Linked DNA regions of Macaca fascicularis. The protein of the gene in region 1 interacts with the protein of each later gene in a pairwise test. Links are inferred from orthologs where the notes say so. Each region holds a gene or a part of one and is shown on either strand. Other genes may lie near its edges.

What was found. The genes of interacting proteins can lie anywhere in the genome.
Region 2: the proteins of FAM9B (region 1) and SLPI interact in binary tests that used the Homo sapiens proteins (3 or more experiments, as listed by UniProt). The two-hybrid records come from large-scale screens. The link is inferred for Macaca fascicularis from reciprocal best matches to the Homo sapiens genes FAM9B and SLPI.

Annotation. Positions count from the first base shown.
Region 1 is NC_088395.1:8,681,599-8,686,434, forward strand, and holds part of FAM9B (protein FAM9B), read right to left. Parts: intron 3,089-4,836; coding exon 2,989-3,088; intron 2,143-2,988; coding exon 2,031-2,142; intron 654-2,030; coding exon 555-653; intron 1-554. UniProt on the Homo sapiens protein: May play a role in meiosis.
Region 2 is NC_088384.1:101,336,095-101,341,631, forward strand, and holds SLPI (antileukoproteinase), read right to left. Parts: upstream 3,802-5,537; 5' UTR 3,781-3,801; coding exon 3,696-3,780; intron 2,974-3,695; coding exon 2,815-2,973; intron 2,395-2,814; coding exon 2,245-2,394; intron 1,667-2,244; coding exon 1,662-1,666; 3' UTR 1,486-1,661; downstream 1-1,485.

The DNA of each region.
Region 1 (4,836 bases):
TACTTCCTATTTAACTAAAACTCTTGAAACAACACAAGTAAAAAAGATATCCAGAAAGGATTTAAGGACTTCCTGCCTTCCACCATAGATCTGTCATTGATGTTCTGAAAACTGAAAATAGTATCTTCATTAAAACCCATTTATGCCTAGTGTTCCATATAGGAACGCTAACCTTGTGGGAATCATGTATATCCTACTGCTCAAGGTCATTGCCAAGGTCTGATTTTTCATACACAAAAACAATTTGCAACCTCTGGCATAAATAAGTTAATGTGTTAATAAAGTGTCAATTTTATACATAAGATGTATATTTCTAGGTAAAATTTCCACTTTACCTTTTCCTGTTCTAAATAACTCCTACAAACTATTCATGAATCCTAAAAATACATTTACCAATACTATTATATCTGGAACAATACATTCAAAGTGAAAATGGTAAGTAATTTAAAATGTATAACCAAAATGTCTTTCCATACATTCAGAAACAAGCAGACTTTCTTCCATTATGCACGTGGTGTATTTTATAATGTATTATGTTACCAAATAGAACAGACCTTTAAGAATTGGTCACGTAGCAGCTTCATCTCTTTCAGCCTCTCTCTCCTAACACTTCTATATTGCTGCCACCTCTTCTGTTGTTCTTGAAATATTTTCTAGAATCCCACAACAAAATAGTGATAAAAATTGGGTAAATTTTAATACTTACAAAACACAATTCTCCATTAGCTTTAAAGGAATACTCTTTAAATCAATACTTCTGAACACTTTCTTTTAGACAACATTTAGGACCAATTTTAAACGATCGTGTTCGCCAATCACATGCTAAAAATGATGTATTAACCTTTTTCATCAGTCATTAAGTAAATAATTTTCTTACTTTCACATATTCAACACGTATGTCCTAATTTCTCGATTTCCAATGAAGAATATTTGATGAACCTTCCTACAATTTGTTGACCACAGATAGGTAAGATCTATACAGAAATTAACTAAGACACATTCTTTCTAGGATTTTAAGCATGTATTAAATCTTGGTCATTTCAATAGGCACATAGATGAACCACCCAATAATGATGGCCTTTCTGCACCTTGATTTAATCTCCAACAACAGTGTTCTCCTCTCCTCTACGTGGCACTCACTCACACAGTCATCCCCTAGATTTTGTCATTCCCAATGACTGCAACACCTATGTAATATTAATAATAGCAATGATAAGGAGCAACCATGGGTCAGATCACATCCTGAAAAACTTAAATAAACCTGTTACATAGAAACCTTTTGATCCTCCAACAACTCTGACGTAGGTACTCTTACCATGTCTCCTTTCGTAGATAATTTGCCCGTGGTTTCTGAGCTAGCAATGGTCAAGCTGAGATAAATAATTTTTCCACGGTTTCCGAGCTAGCACAGAGATAAATAATTTTTCCGTGGTTTCTGAGCTAGCAACAGTCAAGCTGGAGTTGGATCCCAAGCAGTGTGGCTGCATAGTCCCAGCCCTTGAACCACTGTAGTCAGCTGTTTCTCCATCTTCCCAACATACAGCCACTACCTCCCTGCCATTGTAGGTCACTCACTTCAGTACTATAGCTCAGGAGTCTGTCGAGACCTGACACCCACTGAATGGAGCACTGTTTACTGCCCATTGCCCACCCCATGTGCTCGGGTAACTCAGTCCCAGCTGAAATTCCACAGCCAGTCATCTATCCTCATCCCTGCATCTATTCCCTGCCCAACTCTCCCTCTGTCAATCTGCTCGGCTAGACCCCAACCCAGGAAATTCCAACCCTACAGCTGCTCTTACACAAATACTCCAACTGGGCTCACTTCAATTTCTTCATCGTTATGATGCTGACTTCAGTTGGACCCCTAATGCTGCATGGCAATTATATTCCCCTGGTACATGAGTCCACTAACGGGCCCCCTCTCTGGGCTCATGCACTCTTCCTTCTTTGCTGAATTTCTGCATGAACAATTACTCCCTGAGACATTGATACAACAGGTTAAACATAAAGCTAAGCCTGATACCAACAATTAGTTCTTCTTCTTCTCCCTCTTCTTCTTCTTCTTCTTTCTGCTCATCTGTGATGTATTCTTCAAGGACATTCAGCAACTTCAGAGAATGTATATAATCACGTTTCTGCCTGTAATACATAATAAGTAACACGGTCAAACTTCATAGAGAGATGAAAAATTAATCCTATTCAAACCCAAACTGACTTGACATAATTTATCCTATAAAGTAGCAAGGGAGTAATAGTAGCTGAAATCTTCTTTTTGGAAAAAGGTGAAATGAGTTGCTCTCATTCTGAAAGGATTCCTTCCTTCCTGACTACTAGAGCAGCTATCTTATATTCTTTACCTGCTGAAGACAAAGGAGGGTTTACTGCACTATAAGTTTCCCAGAAACATTCATTTTCTCTAAGAGCAGTTTACTTTTCATTTCCTTTTACTGAATAACATATGGGTTCTCATAAGTAGGTTCAAGAATATCATAGCCATTCATCCCGTAAGATTTCCCAGAAGAAATGCTTCACTTAACTATTTCTCCACTTTGGCACACCAATGGTTTTGTAAAAGAAATAGTGAAAACAATTTAACTAAAATAGATAACTTATTTACAACATAAGGTTATCCCTTTCTACATAATTGAGTATCGTTAAGGATCTACAGACTAAACATTGAGAACATTTATCTTATATGCAGCTACCATATTTCTAGAAATGGATAAACATTAATTTTACAGGAAGACTATTTTTATCTGGAAGGCAAAAAGAGGTCATCTTCATTGACTTCTAGGTAATATCTCTTGATTCTGTTAAACTGAGGTTATAAAACTAAAGAAACTTACCTGCTTAGAGAACAATCAAGTAAAATATGTTGTTCACTAGAGACGCCAATATGTACAGGGTAGTTTTTGAAATTATTTGCACCAACGAATACAAAGAAATGATATAAATATCATTACGCGAGAAAGCCAACAGTCATACCTTTTAAGTTGTTTTTTTCTCAAAGCATTTTTACTTTTGTTCTTTGTTTTGCTGCAAGCTTTATCCATTTTCATCTTTTTTCTTTTTGCAGTAAGATCCTCTTTAATGTCAGTTAGTAAATGAAAATGGATTAAAAGTTAATGTTGAAAAGTAGTTTATTTGCATATACTGACATCAATATGGGACATTATGGTTCAGCAATACAAGAAGGATATTTAAAATATAAAATTCAAAAATCATTTCAAAAAGCAAGATTTACTCACTTATTTTCTGTAAAACATTTCAGGTATTAATATTCGTATTTCAATTCCAATTTGTATAGCTGAAAATCACTTAATTGACGGATGATGAAAAAAAGCAAATAATTAAAAGTTTCTATTTTTTAAATGTGCAGAAAGGGTTATAAGCACAGACTTTAATTTCTACATTTACAAAATGTCCTACAATTCAAAGGAGATGTTTCCATGAAGTACTGCACAACTCATTATGTAAAGCACACAAAAAAGTATCATATAGTAAAACCATCCAAAGGGTAGAAATAAGTTAATACACAGTAAGAAAAGCATTTTTAAGCAATCTAGTGATTGATGCTATTAACTGTATTTTAATAAAAGAAGCCATGGCCATGAGTATGAAAATTTAGGTTTAGGTAAAGAAATACACTCAAAAACACTTTTAAAATATTTTCTTGCAGCTTTTTATATGACATTTGTGCCCATAGTGCTGTGTTTCAGAAAACTGTAATACTGCAAGGAATGCTTTCCTAAACATGATTTCACATCAGAGACCTACCATCAATTGCTAAAAACAGTTTTCAGCAATCATAAAAGATTTGTACCATAATGCAAATATTTTTTACATACAGTCTCCATCTATAACGCCCAATGTATTAGGCAGCTCACAAAACCGGCACTTTTTGTCACCAAGCAGAGCAAAGCTTTCCAAATATACTGCTTGTATGAATCATCGCTATCGAAGAGCTGAAAACTGAATTGAGCTTTTCAAAAGTAAGAGTATTGTCTCCATCATCTTTACAGAAATTTTCTCAAACTTTTTTGAAAATATGGTCCCTATAACAGTGCAACTAATATTTCACACAGCAATATAAAGTTTATGAGTTTTTGGATCCAATTACATGTTTCTCACTAGATAGAAAAGTTGTCCTTACTTTTGTACTACACAGTTTATTACTGGAATAATAATAGAAAATGATTTTAGAGAATTCAATTTTCTCTTGTACTTCAAATAAAACAAAATCAGAAAGCTGTGACAATAGAATAGCTAAATTAAGAACATGAAAAACTCTTATTAAAAACTCTGAGTACATATGGACAGGAAGAAGGGACCAACAGACAACTGGGCCTACTTGAGAGTGGAGGGTAGGAGGAGGGTGAGGATCAAAAACCACCCATCAGGTACTATGCTTATAACCTGGGTGACAAAATAATCTGTATACCAAAACCCTGTGACATGCAATTTATCTATATAACACACCTGCACATGTACCCCCAAACTTAAAGTGAAAGCTTAAAAAAAACCTGATATATGACTTAATCTGCGTACACTAAAAGGAACGAATAGAGCTATTTCTCCTCCAATGTCCTCTAATATTCTCCAAACAATTAAATTTCCACGTGTATGAAAGAAAAGCCATCCATCTCGCTTCACCATTATTAGAAGCATTCTCACATTCCACATCAACAATCAAAGAGGTAAGAAAAATTTATCAAACAGATTACATTAAATACGTATGTTAAATGCTACATATGATAAGCCATTTAAGACAGTCTTGTCATCCACTGATTCATATAACTTACTGCAACAGTTGCATGATTGAAAACAATTTTC
Region 2 (5,537 bases), on another chromosome or scaffold:
ATTACAGTCAAGCTATCTGCTGGGACTGCAGTCTTTTCAAGACTAGAGCGGGCCAGGTGCAGTAGCTCATGCCTGTAATCCCAACACTTTGGGAGGCCAAGGCAGGAGGATTGCTTGAGCCCAGGAGTTCTAGACCAACTTGGCCAACATGGCAAGACCTCGTCTCTAAAAAAAGTTTTTTAAAAATTAGCTGGATGTGGTGACGTGCACTTGTAGTCCTAGCTACTCAGGAAGCGAAGGTAGAATGATCACTTGAGCCCAGGAATTCAAGGCTGCAGTGAGCCGTGATCATGCCACTGCACTCCAGCCTGGGCGACAGAGTGAGATTCTATCAGAAAAAATAAAAGACTAGAGCAAGACTGAAAAACCCACTCCACGCTCACTCATGTGTTTATGGATGGGCCTCCGTTCCTCATGGGCTGTTGGTCAGAAGTGTTGGATCCTCACCCTGTGGGCCACTGCACAGATGGCCTGAGTTTCCTCATGACCTGCCAAAAGAATGCCCTCAGAGTAAGTGATTGAGGAGAGAGAGAATGCCTCCACAATGGAAGCTGCAAACATTTATCATCTAATTTCGTGAGGACATAACTATCTCTCACTTTTGTAATGTTTTATTAGTCACACAAACTAACTGTGGAAAAATGCAGGAGGGGGCTACACAAAGGTGTGAATACCAACAGGTGAGATCACTGGGGGCCAACGTGAAGGGTGACTGCCACACTCATCAAATAAATAAAATGGTTCTCCCTCTTTTTCCTCTTCATTGAATTGTTAATTTAATATATTCCCTTGCTGCTCTTAGAGCATTGTTTGAAAGTAGTAAGGAAGAATTTTTAGTTTGCTGACTTTTTCCAGGGAAGGATTGAATTACAATATTTTTTAAAATCTTATCTAATCAAGTTGTCTCTTTCCTCTGGAATCCACAAAGCAGAGCAATGTGGAGCAAGGCCCTTTGCCTGCTCCTTAGCTCTTAGCAGTCCCAGTTCCTGTTACTCCTGCTCCGTGGAGTCAAGGACACCACCACCCTTGCATGGTATGGCCAATAGTGTGCCATAAATGCTACCCATTATGGTAACGTTCTCATCGTAAAATAGAAGAAATAGTGTCGTGGGAGAGAGAGGAAATTAAAGAGACTCAAAATCACTCCAGTAGGCCACAAGTAGCCCCTATTTTTTGAGAACTTGCTGTGGCCTAGTAACATTGCTATTTATTACACACACAATGCTTCCTCCAATGTTCCAAATGCTGTGAGAAGTTGACTTTTATTGCCACTTCACAGACAAAAGAATTGAAATTTAGGAGATAAAAATCACTTGTCCAAAATCACAGAGCCAGTACTTATAGACTCATGATATAAATTCAAGTCCCCCCAGTCCCTATGCCTCTTCCTCCCACTATATACCCATAGGAGGAAGGCCTCATAGCTAGATCTTCCCTCATAGCCTCCCACCCCACTCATAACCCCAATGAATCACAGAAGCAGGGTACAAAGAGAAATAGGCTCATTTATTTATTCATTGATCAACTGGCACTTCCTGAAATCCTGCTGTGTGCCAAGCCTTTCCCCAAAGGAGGATATCGGTGGTGGAGCCAAGTCTGGGGGTGGAAAGGACCTGGACCACACAGAGCAGGACTCCAGAGCCTCCTCCAAATCACAGGAATCAAGCTGTGAGAGAAAATCAGATAAGAGCTTCAGCATAGAAATCAGCCAAATCATATTCACATCCTTCCTTCTGCCCAAGGATCCTCCTGAGATAAAGAAAATAGCAAGATAGTGCTATAGTTGAGAGAGACTTAGTGTCAGGAGACAAGTCTCATTTTCACCGTAAAACTCTAAATTGAAAGCATTGAATTAGATAATCCTCAAACTCCACGGATCGTTTGGGATTTAACCTCAGAAAACATGACGGAAACAACCTGAATAATAAATTCTTAGTGCACATAGTGCTTTGCAGAGCACTTTCAATCTCATTATGTCCATTTTACCGATAAAGAAACTGAGACTCAGAAAGTCACTTGCCCAGGACCCCCACCCAGAGACACTAGAATAGAATCAAAGCCACAGGTGATCCTATGGAAATCCTGGCCCTGAGACCTAGAGAACAGTTCTCTTGAAGGACAAGGGAGTCAGACAGAGGCTCTGCTTGGAATAGGGGTCAAGAGTCCCCCAGCCCATATGCCTGGGCCTCCAGAGGGTTGAGGCTGAGATGGAGGGAGCTCAGTGTGCCCTCGGCCCCTGCTTACCTTTCACAGGGGAAACGCAGGATTTCCCACATATGCCCATGCAGCACTTCAAGTCACGCTCGCACTGGCCATCCATCTCACAGTAATTGGGGGGTTTAAGCATCATACATTGGCCATAAGCTGGTGGACAATGCCCAGGCTTCCTCCTCGCTGGGTGAGAGTGAGGCTACCAGTCAGAGGCCTTGTACTTTACACAACCCCTCCTATCTCCACTTTTTAGAGTGAGCCCCTGCTGCAACCTGAGCAGGTCGGATCATCCCCCCCGATCTCTATCACCACCACTTTCTCCGTAAGTCACCCCCCAAACATAGCACCTGGCTGTCCTAGAACATCAGGCCCCCGTTGATGCAGGGGGCCAGTCGTCCAGTGCTGACTAGGTGGGAGGCTTCCAACTACCTGACTATCTAAATGCCCGCTGCTTCACCACCTGCTGGCTACCTTCCTGCTTAGGGCATGTGACTCATTGACTGATTGACAAGGAGGCCTGGCAGGACCCATCACCCAGTGCCATCCCCCTAATGCTGTGTCCTCAGGCTCACTCCTCTCTACCCAGTTCCCCGATCTGCTTACTTGGGCTTGGGGTGTCAACAGGATCCAGGCATTTGATGCCACAAATGTCAGGACAACATCTCTTCTTCCCTAGACACTGCCAGTCACTCTGGCACTGAGGTTTCTCATATCTAAGGCACTGGGCAGATTTCTTAGGAGGACAGACTCCGGCTTTGAAGGCTTTTGAAGAGAAAGTCAAGAGGTCAGGAGTAGGCTGGGCACTGAGAAGTCATCATGCCTGCTGAACAAAGCACCACTTTTGAGGGGGAGAGACCCTTACCTCAGGAGCTATCCACAAAGCCCAAAGGGTCATGCCTGCCTGATCTCCGGGTGGATTGATGGGCTTGATTAAATTGGACAAATGGACAGGGGATGTTTCAGACCCAAGAAAAGGGCAGCAGGCTTCTAGTCAAGACCTCCCACCCCAGAGCAAAACAGGGCTACACAAAGGCAGAGAGGAAGGCTGGGAGTGATGGAGATGGAGACAGATAAACAAAGATAAATAGAACCAGTGTGAGAGAAGTTGAGAGCTAAAGCCCAAGGCAGAAACACAGAGACAAAATAGCAGAAGCGAAGACACAAAGAAGAAGCAGAGTCAGAAACTAATGATTTGAGAGTCACAGACAGGTGAAGAAGGCAGAGGATAAGAGAGAGAGAGACAGAGAGAGAGAGAGAGTGGGATCTGGGCCGACAGCATGGTTGCATAGAAAAAGCATTTCCAGAAGCTCAGAAACCCTCACAGAAACCTTGGAGCTCAGCCAGACATGTATTCCACTCTCAGGGAGGTCTCCTGAAACTAAGCTGAGAGATCAGAGCCTACAGAAGGGGACACACCCACATCACCAGGAGACCGCACCTCTGACCCTGCAGCCCAGATTAGACCAGAATGACTCCCAACTTACACTTTCCAGAGCCTTCCACAGCCCAAAGTGCCAGGGTTCCCAGGGCAAGAAGCATCATGAAGGGGAAGAGGCCACTGGACTTCATGGTGAAGGCAGGAGTGACTCTGATGGCCAATGCCAAACCTCACTATTTATTCTTTCACCAGTGGGTGTGGCCCAACCAGAATTCTTTTGGCCTCTCCCAGCTACTATTGCATAAGCAGGAAGCTTAGCCAGAGACCAGAAATCCTGGCACCAAGGAGACGGTTTATCTTTCCTATGCCAGGTGAGGCTTTGAGGTCAATACAGTAATTACCAGAAAAGAAAGGGAAGAGGTTGGCCTGAGAGGTTGGCTGATTAAAGAGGCCATCTCAGTGTCCATCTGAGCCCTAAACATCACGAGACCCGAGGCCATTAGCCTTACAGGTGGAGAGGGGAAGAAGTGGTCAATTGCAAAGGTGCTACCTGGACCTGGAACTGAAACCAGATGCAGACCCCCAGCTGAGACTTCGTGCATTACATCCTATTCTCACATTACGAATTCTGATTTTCACATTATTGGACTCTAAGGCATTGTGAAACTCTGCTGAATGCTCAATGCAGTTTCTTTCTCAAAAGTTCAGCTCATTCAACCAACCGATACTTAGTTCCCTGAAATATTTACACCGTTTATCCCCAGTGCCTGTCACAGGAAAAGCATTCACTCAACAAATGAAAGCTGAAGAAGAGCTCTGCTCTCAGCAAATCTCTTCAGAGCTCAGTTTTCTCAGCTGTGAAATGAAATGATACTAACAAGTCAGCCCTTCTCAGAGGGTTATGAAATTAAGGGCATGAAGGGACTCTGAAAAGAATAAATGAATTGTATCCCTTCCCACTAAAGAGAACTGAAATGAATCTGAGATAAAGGGGGAAAGCAGCTCATCAGTCACTGTAATCAACATTTAGCTATGAGATAATTTGAGATCTTAGAGGACTGCTTCCTAAAATTCCCCAAAAACCCTTACAGATCTCACATGACAGCAAAAAATTAAACTCGTTCTATATGCTACCCAATCTGCATAGATTGCTTCTAATTATAAAGAGAGTCATCATTATCTCTAAAATTCAGCCCATAGCTGAGTGTAGGGTCACATACATACAGTCTCAGCTGCTCATGAGGCTGAGGTGTGTGGATTCCTTGAGACTAGGAGTTTGAGACCAGCCCTGGCCAGATATTGAGACCCTATCTCTACAAAAAAATTTTAAAAATTAGCCAGGCATGATGATGTATGCCTGCAGTCCCAGCTACTTGGGAGGCTGAGCCAGGAGTATGGCTTTAGCCCAGGAGTTTGAGGCTGCAGTGAACCATGATTATGCCACTGCATTCCAGCTTAGGGAACAGAGCTATACTCTGTCTTAAAAAAATAAAATAAAATAAAATAAAATTCAACCAAACCTCATCTGGCTGCAAACTCTAAGCTCTTGACTCACTATCTTCATGCTTAGAATTCTCCCATTCATTCCTAAAGTGAATGTTTGTGGAACTTTTCACAGACATGAAAGACTCACTCATTATCAAGTAGTGACAGCCCCACATGAAGTATTTAAGTATTCCACAACCAGACAGTCAACTGGCAGCAGATCTGTTTATATGAAAGTCACTCCATGGTTTAAATTTTGGTGGATCAGAAGACTTGGACATAATCAATCAATCATCAATCAAATTTTGGTGGAAAAAGAAAAGGACGAAAATTAATATGCATGAGGTAACTACTATGAACCAGGTACATTCAGTCCTAGTTGGTATTTAGTAGGGCAGGTAAGAGAGAAATGGAGGATATGATTTCCGCCAGTGGGTAATGACACTCTCAAGTCAAGATTTTT